Caenorhabditis elegans: one gene and its partner. The protein of the gene in region 1 purifies or fractionates together with the protein of each later gene. This does not show direct contact. Each region holds a gene or a part of one and is shown in the gene's direction. Other genes may lie near its edges.

Evidence for each region.
Region 2: the proteins of F58D5.9 (region 1) and K08D9.4 fractionate together in Caenorhabditis elegans (co-fractionation; one large-scale study listed by BioGRID). This does not show direct contact.

What each region holds. Positions count from the first base shown.
Region 1 is NC_003279.8:12,041,731-12,052,881, reverse strand, and holds F58D5.9 (Cystatin domain-containing protein), read left to right. Parts: upstream 1-6,263; 5' UTR 6,264-6,288; coding exon 6,289-6,613; intron 6,614-6,857; coding exon 6,858-6,933; intron 6,934-6,984; coding exon 6,985-7,085; intron 7,086-7,485; coding exon 7,486-7,646; 3' UTR 7,647-7,681; downstream 7,682-11,151. Other genes in the region: ksr-2 (Kinase suppressor of Ras B), read left to right, coding at 405-709, 2,377-2,837, 4,706-4,997; F58D5.5 (uncharacterized protein), read right to left, coding at 9,896-10,117.
Region 2 is NC_003283.11:3,194,324-3,206,224, reverse strand, and holds K08D9.4 (AB hydrolase-1 domain-containing protein), read left to right. Parts: upstream 1-5,801; 5' UTR 5,802-5,811; coding exon 5,812-5,931; intron 5,932-5,982; coding exon 5,983-6,136; intron 6,137-6,189; coding exon 6,190-6,471; intron 6,472-6,564; exon of another isoform or gene 6,565-6,585; intron 6,586-7,126; coding exon 7,127-7,344; intron 7,345-7,390; coding exon 7,391-7,552; 3' UTR 7,553-7,681; downstream 7,682-11,901. Other genes in the region: Y73C8B.5 (EF-hand domain-containing protein), read right to left, coding at 7,892-8,152, 8,200-8,282, 8,672-8,678; Y73C8B.1 (AB hydrolase-1 domain-containing protein), read left to right, coding at 9,385-9,504, 9,551-9,704, 9,761-10,042, 10,313-10,530, 10,577-10,738; Y73C8B.2 (AB hydrolase-1 domain-containing protein), read left to right, coding at 11,224-11,331, 11,787-11,901.

The sequences.
Region 1 (11,151 bases):
TTTCCGAAAAAATTGAAAATCCCGAAAATGTTGCTGCTTCTGGAAAATGAGAATTAAAAAATTTTAAATAATTATTTTTTAAATTTTTTCTAGAAAGAAGAAAAATAGGCATTGAAGCTATTAAAAAAAACCTAACGGAATTTTTTTTGTTTTTTAAGAAAAATCGAAAAACAAAGTTTTGAAAGAAAAAAACCCGTTTTTTTTTTTTGAAAATTAGCTTCAATTTTTGGCTATTTTTCTTCTTTTTAGAAGAATTTTTTTAGAAGAATTTTTTTAAAGAAAATTTTTGTGACAAAAAATTGATTTTATTTAGTTTTTCAAATTTTTTAATTTTTTGTTAATTTTTGGTCCGAAAAAGCCGGAAAAAGTAGTATTTTTATGGAAAAATGCATTGTTTTTTGCAGAAAATGTACATAAAACAAGAAAATTGATCTCAATGACAACATCAACACTGGACGACGTGACAACATTTAATTCAGAAATAAATGAAGAAATGGATGAAGAAACTGTACTTATGACATGGGAAGATGTTACAATTAAGCTTACCGACGTTGATGTTATGACTAAAATTGGAGACGGACGGTTCGGAAGTGTATATTTTGGTGGTTATCATGGTAATGCGGCTGTACGATTTGTGAATATGAATTATTTGAGTCAAGAAGACCGCCGCGCCGACGTTTTTGCCACGGAAATTGTGTCGGCTTATAAGGTTTGGGATTTTGGAATTTTGCAAAAAAAAAATTGCGAAAAAAATTGTTTGGACGGTTTTTTTAAAGGTTTTTTTAATATTGCAAAAAATCAGAATTTTTTAATTTTATGTATCATTTTTGAAAAAAATTGCTAATTTCCGGTTTTTTACGATATTTTAGCTTTAAAAAAATATGTTCTTTAAATAAATTTAATCAAAAAAATCCCGAAAAACTGTAGAATTGACGAAAATGATTAAATTTTAATGCAAAAATTATAAAAATTACCTTTTTAAAATTTTTTGACTGTATTGTGTCAGTGTTTGGAAATTTGCAAAAAAAAAGAAATTGGAAAAAATTGGGAATATACCGTATGAAAATCAGAATTTCTAAAAATTGTTTTCTCAAAATTTAAACTTGAGAAAATTCTAAATTTTTAAAACTTTTTTAAAAATAATTTTTTAAAAAAATGGGAAAATCTGATTTTTACGGTATTTTGGCAGCAAAAAAATCTATATTCTTTAAATTTTATCTGTTTTTTGTTTGAATTTTTTTTTAAATTAGAATTTTTCTACCACAATTTGCCCAAAATCTCTGAAAAAACAGTTTATTATACAAATTGCGAAAAAAAAACAAAAAATCCTGAAAAACTGTAGAAATAACAAAAATAATTCAATTTTAAGGCAAAAACGATATTTAAACGGTTTTTCTGTGCTAAATTAATGCGAAATTTTTTTTTTCATTTAAAATTGCGAACAAATTTTTTTCATTTAAAAAATTAAAAATTCAACAATTTTTTTCTGTGCAAAATTGTTATATATTTAGCATTAAAACACAATTTCCCCACAAAAAAATTTAATTTTTTCCAGAACTACCAAAAAAATCCAAAAAAAAACTGTAAAATTAACGAAAATGAGTAAATTTTGATGCAAAAATTATCAAAATTACCGAAAATTCACTTTAAAAAACTAAAAAACCGTTTGAAAAACGTAATTTTAAGCAAAAAACTGAATTTTTCGTATTCAAATTTTCCAAAAAATCCCAAAGTTTTTTATAAAATTACTGTTTTTTTTTGCTATATAAATGCGATTTTTTTTCACCAAAAAATTTATTTTTAAAAAATTCAAAAATTTTTCGATTTTTTCTGTGTAAGATTCTTATTTTTGGCCTAAAATATTGAATTTTTCGCTATTTTTACACGATTTCCCCAAAAAACAAATTTTCCAGAACTCTTGTCATAATAAAGTATACATTATAAAAAATTTGTGAAAAAAATACTCAAAAAATCCCAAAAAAAAACTATAGAATTAACGAAAATGAGTAGATGTTAATGCAAAAGTTATAACAATTACCGAAAATTGATTTTAAAAAATTTTTTGAGAATGAACCATTTTTGGCATATGTTCTATGACCCTTTGTCTGAAAATTTCAAATTTTTGTTTACACTACTAAAAAAATTGGATTTTTGTTAAAAATTCGTGTCCAAAAATCCAAGTTTTTCGTAAAATTACGATTTTTAAACGGTTTTTCTGTGCTAAATTAATGCGAAAAATTTTTTCAACAAAAATTGCGAAAAAAAAATTTTTAATTTAAAAAATGAAAAATTCAACTTTTTTTCTGTGCAAAATTGTTATATATTTGGCATTAAAAACACAATTACCCCACAAAAAAAAATTCGATTTTTTTCCAGAACTCGCGGCACGATCATATAGCCCTATTCTACGGATACGTATCAGATCCAGTGACGAATACGTACGCAATTGTCACGAATTTCTATCAACACAACACTCTTTATCACCGAATTCATGAACAATTATCCGAAGATTTCGATCAATCGTGGACATTTCAAATTTCGTTGCAAATTTGTCAGGCAATGTCTTATCTGCATAAAAAGAAGATACTTCATCGAGATTTACGAACGAAAAATATTCTTTTGGACAATCCGAATCGAGTCGTTGTTACGGATTTTGCGTTGATGAAGCTTGAGCGGCTGGAGAATCCCCGCAGAAATTGTACACTTTTAATCCCAAATCACTGGATTGACTATCTTTCGCCGGAAATTGCTGGAAATTTGATGATTGATTGGAGGGGTGATGTGTTGTTTCAACATGAACTACCGTTTTCACAAGAATCTGATGTTTATTCGTTTGGGTACGGGGGGATTTTATCGAATTTTTAATTTTTTTTGATTGAAAACCGCTTCCGAAATGCGAAAAATTGCGATTTTTGGCCAGAGGTCTCGCCACGATCGAAACTTCCCCAGCTACAGTCCCTCCGAGAACTTCGAAATTTCTTGGTTTTTTGGGGCGTTTTTCGTAATTTATGAATAAAAATGAGTAAATGTCAAGAAAAAGACAGAATTCAATTTTTGTCGACGTTTTTACTAAAAAGTACGGTATTCAGGGTCTCGCCACGACCGAAACTTTCCAGCTACCGTTCCCACGGGACTTTCGCAGTTTTCCGGATATTTGGCGTATTTTTCAAAATATCGGGAAAACTGCGAAATTCTCGGGGGTACGGTAGCTGGGAATTTTCGATCGTGGCAAGACCCCGGTATTTTGTCGTAAAAATTTCGAAAAAATTGAATTCTGCCATTTTCTTGACATTTACTCATTTTTATTCATAAATTACGAAAAACACACCAAGAAAACCAGGAAATTTCGTATTTTATCGGATTTTTAAGTGAAAACCGCTTTCGAATTGCGAAAAAAAATGCGATTTTTGGCCAGAAAATCCGGTAGCCTTGGGTCTCGCCACAAGAATTCGTTTTTAGAGCTCTTCTCCACGAGGAGTACACGAGCGAGCTGCGTAAATCGACAGCTCTTCCATTTTCAAATTTAATGGAGTTTGGGAGACCGATTTGCAAAATTTCACAAATTTTTACGAAAAACTACGGTAGCTCGGGGTCTCGCCACGATCGAAACTTCCCCAGCTACAGTACCCCCGAGAATTTCGTAATTTTCTTGATATTTGGCGTGTTGTTCGTAATTTATGGACAAAAATAAGTCAATGTCAAGAAAAAGACAGAATTCCATTTTTTTTTCAAAATTTTTACTAAAAAAGACGGTATTCAGGGTCTCGCCATGAACGAAACTTCCCAGCTACCGTACCTACGAGAATTTCGTAATTTTCCTGATATTTGGCGTATTTTTCAAAATATCGGGAAAACTGCGAAATTCTCGGGGGTACGGTAGCTGGGAATTTTCGATCGTGGCGAGACCCGGGCTACCGTTTTTTTTTCGTAAAAATTTGTGAAATTTTGCTAATCGGTGCTCTTCTTTTTAGCGAAAATTAAAAAATGGAAGAGCTGGAGCCTCTCTGTCGATTTACGCAGCTCTCTCGTGTACTCCTCGTGGAGAAGAGCCGAAGATTCTACAGTTTTTAGGTGAAATTCTCGGTTTTGCACCAATTTCGCTAGTTTTCTTCTGTGATTAACATCAAAATCGTCCATTTTTTGCTTATTTCTATGTATTTTGATGAAAATGCGAAAAAAAACACTCAAATTTGGAGTTTTTGACCAGTAAATTCATAAATTATGGATACTGGTCAAAAACTCTAAAATTGAGACTATTTTTGTATTTTTCACCAAAAAATGAACGATTTTGTGTGTTCAATACAAAAAAACCAGTGAAAATGGTCCAAAACTGAGAGTTTTAGCTAAAAATTGGAGAATCTTTACCTCTTCTCCACGAGGAGTACACGAGAGAGCTGCGTAAATCGACACATTGAGAAAAATTTGGAAAAAATCATTAAAAATGAAGATTTTTTCACAAAACTAGTGAAAAAAATCTCAATTTTTGAATATTTTGAGTTAAAAATCGACAATTTTTGAAAAAGCGAAAAAAATTTTTTTTTTAATATTTAAACTTTGAAATTAACACTGAAAAATGCTGCGTAAATCGACATATTGGGAAAAATTTAATAAAAATTAATTTTTTTTCAAAACTAGTCAAAAAACTATCATTTTTTATATTTAAAGTTTTAAAAATCAATAATTTGAAAATTTTCCCAATTTTCAGTACAATTTTCTTCGAACTCCTGCTCCGCCGTATGCCAACGGGCTGTGACTCTTGGGATCAGAAGCTCTACGCGAAAATGTGCGGCCAAAAAGCGGCACTTCAACGGCTCGACGCCCAGCTGCAAAAAATCGACGGAAAATTGCACGAACTGCTGCTGGAATGCTGGTCGAGCCAACCGGAGAAGCGGCCGAGTTTCCAACAAATTGTGAAGCGAATTACAGTTCAAATGCCGAGAAAAGAGTCGAATAAGCAGAAGAGACGCAGCACGGCACACGAGAATCCACTGTTTTAGTGTGTAGAATTATCGATTTTTTATGTACAGAGAGAGAGAGAGAGAAGAGAAAAGAAGAAGAAATTAGACATTTTATCCATTTAAATACCTATATATATATACAAATATTTATCCTATATTCATCCCTGCCCCTGCCATTGATCTTGTTTCATAATCATATCATAGTTTTATCAGAAAAAGAAAAAAAATCCCATTTTTCCATCATTTTTATCCGCGTTTTCCTATTTTCCTCCAAATTTCCCAAATTAATCCCGCCAAAAAAATTTTTTAATTTAAGTTTAATTTCCCGCCGTTTCCCTTCCTGTGCCATCCTTTTTCCCCCCTGAAAAGAAGCAAAAAACGAGTTTTATATACCACAACCGGATTCCTACTATATTAATTCCAATTTTATCCAATGATTTATTTATATTAAATTATATTTTCTTTTTTTCTACCATTTCTGTGCTGCCTTGAAATTTTTTTGTTCCCGCCTTCCTCCCCTGATATATAGTTATATATAGTTTTTCGACAAATTTTCAATTTTCAAATGAAAATATCGACTTTTTAGTTGGAATTTTTTGGGGATTATCCAGGAGTTTTTTACATATTTCATGTAATTTTATTCGCTGAAAATTGATTGAATTTCAGGATTTTCGCGCGAATTTTGGCTGAAATTGGGCATTTTTACGATTTTTCTCTCAAAAACTTGAAAAATTTAATATTTCCCTTTGAAATTTGCAAAATTAGGTTAAATTAAACCTAATTTTGTAAATTTTCGTTAAAAACCGTTAAACAAACCATTTTATTCAGTTTTACAATGAAAAACTAGCCGCGACGCGACACGCGCCGCTCCGTAAATCTACCCCGGCCGTAGCCGAGTCCAAATGGCCTAATTACCGACTTTTGCATAAAAATTGAGTTTTCAACACGATTTTTTCTCTAAAATTTACAACTTTGGAGAAAAATCGTGAAAAAAGCATTTTGGGCAGGTGTGCGCCTTTAAATTACTGTAACTTCGAACTTTGGTTGCTGTGGAATTTTAACCGATTTTTCATAGTTTTTGATTGAAAAAATTCCTACAGTAATCTTTAAAGGCGCACACCTGCTCGCAGTTCAAAAAAGGCGTGGCGAGACCTGGTACCGTAGTTTTGGCGCGAAAATCACAAAATTTGGCGTCTGGGCCTTAGAATAAGCAAGCGCGGCGCGGTTTTTTTTTGAATTTTTCTCTGTAAAATTTTTTTAAAAATCGCAAAATTCAGGATAAAAACGTCTTGGTAATTTTTTTTTCAGATTCCCCAGGAAGACCCTAAAAATGAAATCTCTTCGAGCAACTAACATCACAACGGCCAAAGCCGTCATCATTAAACCTCCCCACCACGTAATTCTCGGCAAGAAGCATCGCCGACGTGTTGGTGGCAATCTTCGGGATACCGCCATTTTCTGCGACTTTCTGACGTCATTTTGCTACGTGGCAATGGAAAGATGCTCGCCGAGCACGGCGGATTGGCCGAAAATGAAGTTTGGACAGGATTATGAGCATTCGAAATGCCCGGATGCACGATTTCAGCGACACGTTGAAGAAAATTGTCAGCTCGCGGAGCAATATATTGCGGCAGGACGATTATTGGCTTTTGAAGGTTTTTGGGCCTAAAATCTAGATTTTTAATTGATTTTATTGTATTTTTTGCTGTAGAAATGCTTTAAAACCCAGAAATAAAACTTGCGCGTCAAATACAATGCACTGCGTACACTTGCGGTGTTTGCACTGAGTGCATTTTAATTGACGCGCAAATCTTTTTTTCTGCATTTTTTTCGAAATTCTTGAATTTTTTAGCTAATTTCAGATGATTTTTGATTAAAAATAACTTGAAATTCTTCCAGTATGCATGGTAACACCGTCGGAAACTCAACTCGTCGGATTTCGTGTCACTATCAGCCGATTGAGGCGCCCTGATGGGTAAATCTTACAGAATTTGATGATTTTTCACTAAAATTTTATAATTTTCAGCCGTAGAAGTCCAAATATCTACGCCAGGCTCTCAGCGATTCTGGAGAAGGTTCGAACGATGGAAATTACGGAAAAATTGGATACAATGATGAGCTCCTGCAGTGAGTTGGCCAAAAAAAAAATCTTCTGAAAATGGGCCAAAATCGACGAAAAAAAAAACCATAAAATATGACTTCTCCAGTCAAAATCGGCAAAAAATGCACCAAAATCGACCAAAATTTACGTAATATTCGCTGAAAATGGTTTTTTAATCCAATTTCCACATATTTCTGAAAATTTTTGTCGATTTAGCTTATTTTCCACCGATTTAAACGGAAAATTCTCAAAAAACGACGAAAATTTGCGAAAAAATGGGAAAAATTCATTAAAAATTGTAAAAAAAATTATTTTTTTATTCAACTTCGCCAGTTTTTTGCAAAAAATTCTATCGATTTTGGCCTATTTTCCAGCGATTTGGGCTAAAAATTCCCAAAAAACGGGAAAAAAATTCAAATTTTCCAGAATATCGCCCTCGAATCCGCCTTCTCGCCCGTCTTCGCCCCCAATCCAAACGGAAAGCCGACAAATCCAAAGTGGCCGATAAATCTCAAACTTTTTCTCTTCCAATTTCAAATTCCATTCGATTAATGTACACTGGAATCTCATTTTATGCTTTTATGTAATTCTGAATTTTTGAAAAAAAACACAATATTTTTTTAGATCACAACGTATTTATTACTTCTTCTTCTTTTCAAGAAAAATAGTCCAGACAAGCCTAATGAGAGCCTGAAAGCCTGGAAATTTTGTCTTGATAGTGATCTATTCGATTTCAGTGAAAAAAATCGCAATCCGTACAGATGGTAGAGGTGGAAATGCGCAAAAAACGCCAAAATCTCAGTGGAAAGTTGGCAAATTTTCGGGAAATCGCAAATTTCGCGAGAGAAATTTGATACTTTTCCCAAAAAATAGCCAAGAAACAGGAAAAAAGATGGAAAAAAAAGTGGGAAGGAATGCGAAAACCTGGGAGATCGAGGTTCGACTCGCGCGAAAATTTAAAAATTAAGGCTTCTGAGAGATTTAAATGAATGGGTGGGTGGGTGAGGGGGAAAATTTAAAATTTTCAAAAAAAACCAATAGACTAGAGAACAAATTTAGCCGGGATTACTGTAGCAGCTAAACTGTGTGGATTATATATATTAAAAGATTATAAGATATTGATAGATATATAGGATTACTGTAGACTGTAGGCTTGGTTACTGTAGGATAGTGTGACCAGACTCGGGGGGATATGAACATTAAAATATGACGTGGCGAGACAGAGAGAGACAGAGAGAGATAGAGTGAGAGAGAGAGAGAGTGGGGGTGCTAACACAGAAATAACGAGACATAGAGAAAAAGAAGAAAAGATGGTACAAAAACAGAGTGAAAATAACCTAAAAAGGTCGATTTTCAGTATGGGGAAAAATGAAAAAAAATGAAAAAAGAAAAATCGATAATAGAGATTTAGAGGCCGCCCATTTTTCTTGGCGAGTTTTCCCAGAAAATATTGAAAAACTAATCGAGAAAAAGTGGCGTGTGACCCGGCCAAAATCAATTTTTGAAGTTGGGTACACACTTGATAATTATTGATTTTTGAGACTGTGAAAATCTCCAAATTTCCGTGGAAAAACAGTTTTTAGGCGAAAAATTTGGTAATTTTCAGTGAAAATCGACTGAAAATGGACAAAAATGTACGAATAATTAGCAAATTTGGCTAAAACTCAAGAAAATCGTAAAAATTCAGTGTAAAAAAAGATTTTGCCCGTCAATTAGAATGCACTCGGTGCAAACACCGCGAGTGTACGCAGTGCATTGTATTTGACGCGCAAGTTTTTTTTCATCGGTTTTTTCACGTTTTGTGCACAAAATCGACAAAAAACTTGGGAAAAAGCCAAAATATCAGAAAAAATCGATAAAATTTAATTTTCAATCAATATTTTGCAAATTTTCAGTCAAAATCGGCTAAAAATGCACTAAAATCGACCGAAAATTGCAAAATAGTGGCAGAAAATCAATTTTTTCCTGTTTTCTGCATTTTTGCAGATTTTCCCACGTTTTTTGCACGAAATCGGCAAAAAAAAAACTCGGAAAAATGTGTTTCGCAATTTTTTGTCGATTTTTACGGAAAATGCACCAAAATTTGCAAAAAAATTGAAAAAACCGTGCAAAATTTGAGAATTTTGGCTATTTTTTCACTAAATAATTCAAAATTTTCGCCGAAAGAAAACCCGTTTTTCCGGGAAATTTGGAGCCATTTTGAGCATTTTTGTGGGGGGCAAAAACCAATAATTAACAAAACATATAAGTGAAAATGGACAAAAAATGGAAGAAAAAGGTGAGGAAAAATCCAATATGTACAGGAAAATCATCACGTTTTGGTGGGGGGGAAAACTAAAGGAAAAAAACGCGAAAAAAAAGATGGGCGGTCTAAAATATCGAATTTCTAAGATTTTTCGGGTCAAAAAATGAAAACGGGACGGGGGAATACCTGTATTTGTACTATCGAATTCCGGGAAAGAAATTTCGAAAAAAAAACCGAAATATCTACAATGGTTCAGAATTTCTAGTAGCACACGGGGATTTCGCGGGGAATTTTTTCGATTTTTTTTTCTCTATTTTAACGAAAAAATCCCCCGCAGCAAGACAAACAAAATATATTGCAAATTAACAAAAAAAAAAGTGAAAATTTTCAAAAAAAGAAGCCAAAACTGTGATAAATTGTTGAGAGAGACGAATATGGATAAGTTTTGCAGGGGAAAATTAGATTATCTCAGTTTTTTAGGGGTTTTTTAGGCTTTTTAAGCCAAAATTTCAGTTCGAAAACCCAAAAAACCCCCCAAAAAATACACTAAAATAATCCAAAAATAAGGGGGAAATCCAGAATCCAGAAGCTTTAAGCCGAGGCGATTGCTGCGATGAGCTGTAGTGGACAGACACGAACTCCGAGCACATCAGTCTTTGGCTTCATCTCTTTTTGAGCAGCACGTCGTGGTGTCATTGTGATCATTGGAGCATCCGATGATGAGAGAGAAGATGTTGACGATGAAGCTGATGACGTCATTGAGATGGATGATGATGGACGGGATGAGTTTTCGAGCTGTCCGGGCACTTGGAGCTGAAAAATTGAGAAATTTTGAGGGATTTTTAGGCTGGAAAATGCAAGAAAATGCACTGGAAAGTGGAAAATTCGGAATTTTCAAAGAACTTTATGCTAGAAATTGTGATTTTGAGCTTAAAATGATTTTTTTTTTGGTAAAAATCGTCTTGGAGCTGAAAATTTGGAATTTTGAGGTTTTTTGAGCTTGAAAATGTCGATTTCAAGGTGAAAATGCTTTTTTTCACTGAAAATTGAAAAAAAAGGGCGAATTTGAATAAAAAATCAGAATTTGAACGGATTTTTATGCTAAAAAAGATAGATTTCGAGCTGAAAACGCCATTTTTTCAGTAAAAATCGACTTGGAGCTGAAAATTTGGAATTTTAAGGTTTTTTGAGCTGGAAAAACCTTTTTTAGCCGAAAAACGAAAAAATTCGAATTTTAAGATTTTTATGCTAGAATAGGTTGATTTGAAAATGCTTTTTTTCAGTAAAAATTGGAATAAAAATGGAGGATTTCAGTGGGAAATCCTTTTTTTAATAGACTTCTATGCTAAAAAAGATAGATTTTCAGCTGAAAACGCCTTTTTCTCAGTAAAAATCGACTTGTAACTGGAAAATTCGGAATTTTTAAGGTTTTATTCGCCAAAAAATGATGATTATGAGCTGGAAATGCATTTTTCAGTAGAAAACTGGACGAAAATTCGGAATTTTTAGTATTTTTATGGTAGGAAATGTTGATTTTAAGGTGAAAATCAAAAAATTCAGGAAAAATCGGAAGTTTACAGCTTCAAGGGAGATTTGATGGGAAAATTGAAATCTTGGAAGGTTTTTAAGCTAGAAAATGTTGATTTCAACGTGAAAATGCTTTTTTTCACTGAAAATTGAAAAAAAATGTGATTTTGAGTGAAAAATCAGAATTTTAAAGGATTTTTATGCTAGAAAAGGTCGATTTTAAGCTATTTTCGAAGGTTTTCATACTGAAAATAATATTTTTTCGATGAAAATCCCTGAAATATGCATTAAAAAGCGGATTTCGATTTCTAAACATTTCT
Region 2 (11,901 bases), on another chromosome or scaffold:
TCTCCCCATTGAAGTGCCCATTTTCTCCTTATTTGTCAGACGGCCTAACTTGGGCGGCGGCACAGTTCAAAGAGTCGTCGGAAGTATTTAGGTGAATGAGACAAATTGGTTCCTCCCCCGCCACAATAAACCGCCCATCTCGAAATTCACTCCGGGTGGTGTGAAATATTGCGAGTTTATCCGGTGAAATTCGCCGGTTTTTGAGGCTGAATTCGGTAGATTCCAAGCTGGTGGTGCCAGGCCAGGCTGTCCCATTACGGTTTGATCTACCAAAAATGCGGGAATTTTATGCCCAAAAATATGTGACGTCAGCACGTTCTTAACCATGCGAAATCAGTGGAAAACTCTGCGTCCTTTCTCTCGCATTTTTTGTAGATCAACGTAGATCAAGCCGAAATGAGACACTCTGACGCCACGTGTAGATTCCAAGCTGGTGAGTAATTCGTACCATAGCTGGTCTCTAAAGACAGGTGCCAAACACCCGTTAGCGAAAAAAAAAATTTTTTTTCTTGAAATTTCCAATTTTCCGATTCACCATAGAAAACTAGTCGGGGGCCAGCTGCTGCTGCTTGAATGGAAATTTTTTGCGTTTCGAAAATCCACAATAATTGACAATTATAAATGTGTCACGTGTCAATCGATGATGAACATCTGCGGAAGGCCACCTGCGGTCAACTTGAATCCGGCTGAATTTTGTGATAGAGAAAAATAAGAAAAAGAATATTGTGGTATGCTTGTTAGCCGGGCGGGAGAAGATTGATCTACAAAAAAATGCGGGAATTTTTTTTTGGCCCAAAAAATGTGACGTCAGCAAGGTTCTTAACTATGCGAAATCAGTTGAGAGAACTCTGCCGCATTTTTTTGTAGATCAACGTAGATCAAACCGGAATGGGACATTAAATTTTTCGGGAAAATATCTGGCTCCCACGGCGCACCGACCGGCACCGCCAAACTATATGGCATGGCAAATAGAACGATTTTTCGTCTTTTTTGGGATTTTCTGCGATAAAAAATCAACATATGTTATTTTTTATAACATTGCGCACGTGTTTCGAGGTGAGAAGTGCTCGATTTATCTATTTCACCCATCTAACTCTAATTACGACGAACTGGTGACAGATGGACGGTGTATTTCGGCTGGAAATGGTGTTAAAAGGGAGAATTGCGGTGAAAAATTGGATAAAATTGAGAAAAAATAAATTAATGAGAGGGATTTCTTGGGAAGTGGTGGATATAAAGGTGAAAATAATTATTTTTCACAGAAACTGAAGGAATAAACTTGAAAAATTAGATAAAAACTGAAGCGAAACAGGGAAAACGCGGTAAAAATCTGGAAAACGACCGGAAAAATTGAAAAACTTTAGTTTTCTAAGGAAAAAACGGAAAACTCGCCGAAAATTGACGTTTTTGCATGAAAATTCAACGAAAATTTCTACAAAGTTTAAGTTTTTTCGCAAGAAAATTGGACGGAAATGCGCGAAAATTGGCAAAAAACAAGGAAAATCCACAAAAAAGGCATTTAAAAAAGAAAATAAAAACTAGCAATACCGTAGTAAAAAGGCGCGGATCTCAAAAAAGTGTGAAGGGTCTCGACGCGACTTTAAAAATTCAGCCATGCGCCTTCAAAAAACTACTGTAGTATATATTTTTATTTTTCAATTAAATTTAAAAAATAAAAAGTTTGCGTTAAAAACCAACTTTAACGAGGAATTTGTTAACAAAATCGTGTAATAAAATACGGAGATGAAACAAAAGAGTTTTCGGAGCATAAAATACGGGACCGGCGATAAAATTGAGAACCTCACTCTTCGTCATCAAATCATCAAAACGTTTTGACAGATGCTCTTTGTTTTTGCTAACTCAGAACTTTCCGATTGAAATATGTGCACACAACGGCGCCGCGTCGACGACTAACAACAGATGTGGGGGAGTCTTCAATATTGCCACGATTATTGTTAAATATATTGAAAAAAAAACTGGATAAAAGAAGAGCACAAAAAAAGAAACGAAGAAGAAAATATTTCAAATATATTGAAAACTGTCTTTTCTTTCCTTTTCCTTCTATCTACCACCACCCCTCCCGACTTTTGTGATTGTGTGCCAGGGACGCGACGATTTGCATGAGAATGCACTGAGAAGTGAGCGATGTGTGAAAAAAATCGGCCGCCGCCCGGCGATCGAAGATGCTTCTCAAAATATTTTCGTTTTGGCGAGGAAGCTGGAAAAAATTTGTGCTTTTTCCCTGAAAAAAGTGAATTGGTTGAAAATGGAAGAAAAATTAGTAACAAATTGGGGAAATGGCGCAATCGCGCTCCACGGCCAATGAAAAACTGTCCGCCCCTATACGTTGGGTCTCGTTAGGTATTTGGCTGCAAAACTCTAAATTCACGTGAAGCCAGGCTGTCCCATTACAGTTTGATCTACAAAAAATGCGGGATTTTTTTGCCCAAAAAATGTGACGTCACGTTCTTAATCATGCGAAATCAGTTGAGAACACTGCGTCTCTCTCCCGCAATTTTTGTAGATCTACGTAGATCACGCCGAAATGAGACACTCTGACACCACGTGTAAATTGAGTTTTTCAATTAGTTTTACATGCTTTCAATCAAGACGAAAATTGTTTGAAAGCATGCAAAACTAATGGAAAACTCTGAATTTAGTGTCAGAGTGTCCCATTTGGGTTTGATCTACGTAGATCTACAAAAAAATGCGGGAGAAGAGACGCAGAGTTCTCAACTGATTTCGTATGGTGCTGACGTCACTTTTTTTGCGCAAAAAATTCCCGCATTTTTTGTAGATCAAAAACGTAATGGGACAGCCTGGCACCACGGTTTTACTGTCAAATTCCTAACGAGACCCATGACTCGGGCGGCGGGGCGTTTCAATTAGCCGTGGGGCGCGTTTTCACGTCGATTTCAAAAAAATTCTGCGTCCAATTAATATTTTAAAAAATGTTCTGTAAAACTTATTTTTCTTTTTTTTTTCTGAAGAAGTTTATTTTTTTGCAAATTTTGAAAAAAAAACCGCTGTTTAGAAAAAAAAACACTATGAAAAACGAAAATGCACTTTTTTCCGATTTCAAAAGTAGTTTCTCTGGATTAATTGGAATGGGTTTTTGCGCAGTACTTTCGTTTTTTTTTTTTCGGTTAAAAATATTTCATATTCTTCATAAGTTCAATTTCAGATGATCTGGACACGACCGATTTTTTTAAATAAAAAAAATTAGGGTGTGCCTTTTAAGGAGTACTGTAGTTTCCTTTTTTTCACCTTTTCCATATTAAGAACAACTTTTTTTTCAATTTCTGCAAAAATAATAAGTTCGAAACTGCAGTACTCCTTAAAGGCGCATACTCTCTTTATTATTGAATTTATTATCAAGAAAATGTGACGTCAGCACGTTCTTAACCATACGAAATCAGTTGAGAACTATGCGTCTCTTCTCCCGCATTTTTTGTAGATCACCGTATATTGCTAAGCGAATTTAACTACTCTGAATTTTTGCATATGTAGAAATTCGATTATGATGAATTGTTTTCCGACGAATCCAAAGTTCCAGTGTTCAAACTTCCACACAATACGACTTTATGAACACACCTGGTGTTCTTTTGCAGAGTTGCCGAACATATTTATTTTATGGAAAATTGTCACTGGAATTATTTGCAGGGGGGGGGGGGGGGGGGGAAATAATTTTATTGCATTGCTAAACATTGAAGATATAACCAATGGGAAATAATAATCATTTCAAATAACCCAATACAGGGGTGGTTGGCAAACTATTTTTTCCGGCAAATCGGCAAATTGCCGGAATCGAAGCTGCCGGCAATATACCGCAATGAAATTTCCGGCAAATCGGCAAACCGGCAAATCACCCAAATTGTCGTTTTGTACAGTTTTTTTTTTGGAAATTTCAGAATTTCAATTTTAATCGGCAAAATTGTACGCATTCTATGAATGTTCCTACATCTGTTTCGAAAAGTACACAAATTCTATGAAATTATCTGAAGACAACGGGGAAAAAAATTTCAAAAAGGCGCAAATTTAAGTGTTTCGGTTTCATAAATAATTCCCTCTAAACACTTCCCGCAAATTGGTGTTCGGCAAACGGCAAATCGGCAAATAGCCTGAATTGAAAATATCCGGCAAATCGACAAACCGGCAAGTTGCCGGAATTGAAAATATCAGGAAAACCGGCAGTTTGCCGATTTGCCGAGTTTGTCGACAAAATTTGCCAAAATTGCCAAATGGCAATTGCCGCCCACCTATTGCCGGTTCAGTATTTTAATGAAACACTTCAAAATTTTAACATTTTTCAACATTTTCAGTCAAATTTTTGGTGAAAAAAATTCGAGAATCGCTGGTTTAAACCCTCACCAATAATTAAAAAATATTTGAAACACCATTGAATCCGCTCGTTGAAATTTTTAAAAGTTGTTTTTTTTTAATTTTTGAAAAATTTTACTACGATTTTTTTTTTCAATTTTAGGAAATTCATGTAGTTGCTTGAATTTTTTCCTTCCTCTTTCTGAATTTTTTTTGTATTTTTTGAAAATTCGGAAATAAAGGCTGTCAAAAAATGTAATTTTACAATAAATTGTATTCTCGCTTTTACATATTGAATTGAATTGAATTTATTACGATTGAAATCATGATAATAAACGTAATAAACATACGATAATAAACATACAGAAAACTAATAAACATACAGAAAATGAATTATCATCTGAAAAGTTGATTAGTTGGTACATGAATGTGCGGGTGTCAGGGAGATGAATAATGGGTAAAAGTATTAAACATGCATAGGACATGAGGTGCCAAAATAAGATTCATTGCGCAAGATTCATTGCGAAATAAGATTCATGTCCGAAGTTGACTTTTTTGGAATTATCGTCCTTTATTACATATATTGGTAGTTTATCTCATTTACTTTCGTTGATATAAGGTATATTTAAAGCCGATAGGTAACCAATTTCGATAATTTTTGGTTCCATATCGGCTAATATAACATACATAACATACATAACATGTGATATAACATACATATCTGAAAAGTCCCCTATTTTTGACAAAAAAACAACACCCAAAAATACCAGAAATGTCAAAAACTGCAGCGACCGACATCTTGTGAGTTCGCTTTTCCTGATATACTTCAATTGACTGGTTTAAAAACTCAGCTATCGATGGGCAAATTTTCGGCAAGTTTTCGGCATCAGGCGACCAAATTGCAAATCTTCGCAGTTGGCCAAACGTATAATTTTGTTGAACTCATATTTTAGAGCTTTTTTCAGTTTACAGTGTAATTTTTGCATTTTTCTGAATGCGAATTTTTTTTTCTCAAATTTTCACGTCTTCACACAGTTGCAACTCAATGTCAATTGTTAGACGGTTATTTTTTGATTTTCTTTTGGCCAGAAAAAATTGTCCAAAAAGCTTGTTTTTTTATCAAATGTAAAAAAAAACTCATCTAATAGTAAAGCTAAAATTTTATTCCAGTAGGGTCCAGAGTACCCGATGGGCACACCGGCCACACTCCAACTACACAGCTGACCCGCGCTTCTCTCCTCTTTTTCGTTTGGGTACGCAGTTGACGTCATATCTTCTTTCTTTTTTTACATGCCAGCTTCATGTTGTGCTTTATATTTTGTCTTTTTGATTTTCCAGCAATCGTTGTATTTTTTACGTTTCTAGTACAAAAATGGAGAAGGTCAGATTTTTTTTTCTAAACACAAATTTGATTAAATTTGATAATATCTCGTGAATAAAAATGTTTCAAATTGGTGATTTATGATACAAATTCTTTCAAGAAAATCAATAATGATTATGTCAAAAGGAGCATTTTCCACGCTACCCGCCACCGAGCCGAAGTTGTATTCAAAGTTGGTGCAGTTCCAAACCAAAAGGAGAAGATTGGTAGATTTAAATGCAGTTTATGAGGTAGGTTGACACTGAAATACTGATTTCTCAATTTAAAAGTCAGTTTTTCAGGACTCATTATCATCTGGCTCCCCATTGGGTACTGTGATTGGATTCCATGGAACTCCAGGGTCTCACAGGGATTTCAAGTATGTCAGGCAGCGATTGGAGCACATGAATATTAGATTTATTGGTATTAACTACCCAGGATTCAAGCAAACTCCAGGTAGTTTCAGTTAATTAATAAAAAACCATCAAATAATTAAAAATAAATTTCAGCGTACCCAGGTCAACACTTCGGAAACTGGGAACGAAATAGTTACTCAGAAGCTCTGTTAAACGAGCTAGATGTGCCGGGAAAAGTGATCATAATGGGGCATAGCAGAGGATGTGAGAATGCACTGATAACAGCAGCTAATCGGAAACCTCATGGACTAGTGATGGCTAATCCAACAGGGTTGAGGATTAATAAAGGGTCTCGTCCGAAGGGAAAGTTGGAGTCGCTGATTTATTTACATAAGAAATTGCCGAAAAAGATTGGAGATGCCATTTTGTATAATTGTGAGTATAAGCAAAATGAGAAATATGCCATAGGCCACTACCAAAAAATGTTTCAATGTGGTGTTTTACTACTGTTGAGGCTCGTCAAAATGCTTGAAAGTTGGATTTTTTCATAAACTTTTTCATTTTGGGAGCGTTTTTGATTAAAAAAAAAGCAAAAATCTGAAAAGTTTTCTGGATGTTGCCTACCCCTAGAGCAATTTTACGAGCTTCAGAACAATTGGAAAAATGTCCTGTAAAAATAAAATTTGAGATCGGAAATTTTCTAGTTCAAAACGCAGCAAAATTATTGGTAGTGGCTTATTTAAAGTGTAGTTTTGGCAGTTTAGGAATACGTATTTTCGTTAGACCTAAGTTTTTAAAAGTGGTGTACCGAAATCTGAGACTTTACTTTTTTAGATCCAAAATGACCCAAAACTACCAAATTTCGTAATGAGATGTTCTGAAAATTTTTCAAATAAAAGTTATGTCGGCTCAATGTTTTAGAAAAAACCCGTTTTTGAGAAACTTTCAAAACATCTCATTATGAAAGTCGATGGTTTTGGGTCATTTTGGGTCTAAATAAGCAAAGTCTCAAATTTCGGTACTCCACCTTTAAAGGATGTTCGAAATTTTCAGGGATACTTCAGATCTTATAAATTATTTCAATTTCCAGTAATGAAATTGGTTGGATTCAAAATTCATGATGGTGAAGAAGCCGTGGCGGTTATTCGAGCAATTATGAACTGTGACCTGGAAAAGCAACTGGAATACATTCTGAAATTAAATGAACTGCCCACAAAGACTATGATCACTTTTGGCGGAAGTGATCATTTAATTGAAAAGGAAATTGTTTTTGAAGCACTCAAAAAGTATCAGGGACTCGCGCATTTTGTAAGTTTTGTGATAGAAAAACTTGAAAAATTGGAAGGAATTTCAGAATTTCAAAGCGAATATCACAGAATCCGAAAAGCAGAAAATAATGGAAAGTTTCAAAAATCAAAAAGGAACATCTGTATTTATTGCAAAGGATAATCATTTTCAAAATAAGAAGCGGGCGGATTTATTGGCAGATGCTGCTAGATCAATGTTATTAAATTAATGTTTTGAAATTTTCAAATTGTTTAACTTTACAAACAAAAGGGAAATCTGCAACATGAACAATATTTTCAACGACTATAATTTGAGAACTGTAATAGTAATTTTATTCAATAATAAACTTACAAAAAATATTTAGCTTTTGAAATACTGCCCCAGAAAAAGTCAGCAAAAATTACAAAAGACAACGAATTTTAGGTGAACCAAAGTTTTTAATCGGCAAAAAAAAGAGTTTTTCAATTGAAGGTTGATGAAATATTTATTCAAAGTTTTTTAGGGAAGATAATACTTATAAACGAGAGGATAAGAGGAGGAAACTGGAAAATTTGAGGTTGGTGATTCTCTAAAGAGAAGGATTTACAGCTCTGGTTACATCGATGAGCTCATCTAAATCAACTTGACCATTTCTGTCGATATCGGTGTAACGGAAAGTTTTGCGAATCCCTTCGGCAGACAGCCGTGCTTGAAAGTTGCTGAAGAGGGGTTCCAGTTCAGCAACAGAGATGAAGCCATTTCCGTCTTCGTCAAACTCTTGGAACACCTTTTTAAAATTCTCTTCACTCTGTGCCAAGCCTCTTAGCGACAACATAGCTCCTGTTAGCTCCTGTAAAGCATCTATACAAATTGTTTCGAACATTATTAAAAACTCACTCCAAGAGCCTCATTATCCTGAGAACTTCCAAAATTTGGAATCCAGGCGAGAATGATGAGTAGGAAGAAGATAGAATTGATGGCTTGAATGTAAACTCACTTACAGGTGCCCTTTTTAAATGGATATTTTGTTTAATAAAAACATGTTTTCCGTTGAATTTATAATGGATAATATATCCAATACTTTCAGCAAAGCACGATTTTTTCTATTGTAAAATTTGGCAAAAAAACATTTTTCGAATAATTTCAATAACTGACACAGAATGCTGTAAAAATCGATTTTTCCAGAACTCCAGCTATTTTTTGGTAGGACGCTATCAAGGTACAAGAAAAGGAATAGTACCCAAAAATGCATATTTGCCTTCAAGCCGACCTACGCCTATCTACTCGTTTTCCTGCTGCCAGATATCAGAAACCAATAAAATACAACTAATTTTCTGAAAATACAGTGAAAATAGGCTTTCCTACCTACCTATCATATACCGGCTTTATAGATGGTCATACCAACGGGATGCTTAGTTACGGGCCTAGCTTATTTCTACATCAGGGGTGTGCGACAAATTTGCCGATTTGCCGAATTCGCCGAGAATCTTCACCAAGAAAAATATTTCCAACGACTATAATTTGAGAACTGTGATAGTAATTTTATTCAATAAAAAACATACAAGAAATTATTAGATTTTGAAATACTGTCCCAGAAAACGCCAACAAAAATTTGAAAAAAAAAACAAATTTTGGGCCAACCAAAGTTTTCAATCTGAAAAAAGTGCCCTGCAGTTTAAGGTTTGTATTTGAAAATTTCTTAAAACATAGACAAGGGTCCAAAGTACAGGAGGGGGTGCATTGGCTACACACTGACTACACAGACACATCTGACCGGTTTCCTCCTGTGGGTACGCATTTGACGTCATTTCTTGTTCTCCTTTTTGCCAGTCTGTTGTGGTTTTTTTAAATTTTGATTTTTTGCTATTATTTTAACAATCGCTATATTTTCAATAAAAAATTGTAAAACAAAAAATTTGGAAAAAAAACTATTTAAAAAGACAACTAATCAAATTTTGATTTTTAAAAAAAATTAATTTTCACGTTTAAAAATTCACGCGACTTCAATTGTTTTAAATTCAAATTCCTAAAACTGTTTCATTTCGATGTATTGTTTGCAGAGTTAATTTCAAAAATTCAAGAATGATTGTGTCAAAACGAGCATTTTCCATCCTACCCGCCAGTGAGCCAAAGTTGTACTCAAAGCTGGTGCAGTTCCAAACCAAAAGGGGAAGATTGGTAGATTTAAATGCAGTTTATGAGGTACGGTAAGCCAAAGGTTTTTAATATTCAATAGTCAATTTTCTAGGATACTTCTGCATCAGGCTCACCACTGGGCACTGTAATCGGATTCCATGGAACTCCAGGATCTCACAAAGATTTCAAGTATGTTAGGCAGCGTTTGGAGCACATGAATATTAGATTCATTGGCATTAACTACCCAGGTTTCAAGCAAACTCCTGGTAATTTCAGTTTATTTTTTAAAAAAACCATCAAATAATTTTTAAAAAAATTTCAGCCTACCCCGGTCAACATTTCGGAAACTGGGAACGAAATAGCTACTCAGAAGCATTGTTAAACGAGCTAGATGTGCAGGGAAAAGTGATCATAATGGGGCATAGCAGAGGGTGTGAAAGTGCACTGATAACAGCTACTAATCGGAAACCTCATGGACTAGTAATGGTTAATCCGACTGGATTGAGAATTCATAAAGGGTCTCGTCCGAAGGGAAAGCTGGAATCTCTGGTATATTTCCATAAAAAATTGCCGAAAACGGTAGGAGATACCATTATGTATAATTGTAAGTTTTTTTATCTTCCTCGAAAAAATATAAATTTCCCAACGTATTTTCAAAAGTGGAGAAATGTTTCTAGAAGAAATTTGTCGGATTTTTCACGAAGTTTTGAAAATGTATGTGTAGAAAGCTTATTTTCAAAAATGCACTCAAATTTGAAAAGCACCAGCCAATCAGCAATGTTGGCCACGCCCCGCGCACCGCTGATTGGTTGACGGTCTCCGCAAACTGAAAATTGTAACTTTTTGAACCATAAATAGCTTTTCCAATTTCCAGTAATGAAATCGGTCGGATTTAAAATTCAAGACGGAGAGGAAGCCGTGGCGGTTATTCGAGCAATTATGAACTGTGACCTGGAAAAGCAACTGGAATACATTCTGAAATTGAATGAACAGCCCACAAAAACTATGATCACTTTTGGGGGAAGCGATCATTTAATTGAAAAGGAAATTGTTTTTGAAGCACTCAAAAAGTATCAGGGACTCGCGCATTTTGTAAGTTTTGTGATAGAAAAACTTGAAAAATTGGAAGGAATTTCAGAATTTCAAAGCGAACATCACAGAATCTGAAAAGCAGAAAATAATGGAGAGTTTCAAAAATCAAAAAGGAACATCTGTATTTATTGCAAAGGATAACCATTTTCAAAATAAGAAGCGGGCGGATTTATTGGCAGATGCTGCTAGATCAATGTTATTGAATTAGTATTATAAATAGTTTTTCAATTTTTTTTTGAATTATTCATTGAATTGTGTTATCAATAATAATAACTTATTATCAAAGCGTTAATTCTTAAAACAATTTCCTTTTGTGAGTCCTGCGCCGATTGATTATGTGAGCAAATTGTAAAAAATGCGTTCTTCCAACCTGTACTGCTGCAAGGGAACACAAATCCCTGTATTTGCATAGTGACAATGCCTCCCCTTCTTCGAGAGGAAAAGGTCACTCTCAATAGAGCGCGCTTGCTTACGATTACCCTCAATTTTACTTCCTTTTTCGACCTTTGAGATTCCACGAATAACACGGTTTATTCGAGTTCTTTATTGATTTTTTTGCAAAGAAATTAAATTATTTTGTCGAGTTTAAAAAATATACATATTTTACGCTTTAAAAATTTCATTTCTTATTTTTAAAATTTAATGTCAAAACTAATTATTGTACCGTTTTCTTTAATCAATACAATTTCAAGAATGACGGAGGTCCCCAGAGCACGAATAAGTGAGCCCAAGCTTTTGAAGAAGCTAGTGAAATTTCAAGCGGAAAATGAACAATTTGTGGAGTTGGAGGCGGTTTATGAGGTGTGGTTCGAAGTTTTACTTTAATCTAGTTTTTTTTCTGGATATTTGAACCAGGGCGGGCGGCAAACGACCTTTTCCGGCAAATCGGTAAATTGCCGGAATTGAAATTTTCGGCAAACCGGCAAATTGCCAATTTTTTTTTGGAAATCTCAGAATTTCAAATTTAATCGGCAAAAATTGTACGCATCCTAAGAATGCTTCTACATCTATTTTGAAAAATAAGCAAATTCTATGAAAATATCCAAAGAAAACGGGGAAAATTTTCAAAAAGGCACAGTTTTAAGTCCTATAAAAATCCCTCTGAAAACTTCTGGCAAGTTGAGGTTTGGCAAACAACAAATCAGCAATTTGCCGAAAATCAAAACTCCGGCAAGTCGGCAAACCGGTATTTTGCCAATTTGCCAAATTTGCCTACTAAAAAATTTGCCCCCCTAATATTAACTTTTCAAATTCAGGACTCTATCACTTCCGGCTCCCCGTTCGGTACTGTAGTTGCTTTCCACGGCTCCCCTGGGTCTCACAACGATTTCAAGTACATTCGGAGCAAGCTGGATGATCTGAATATTCGAT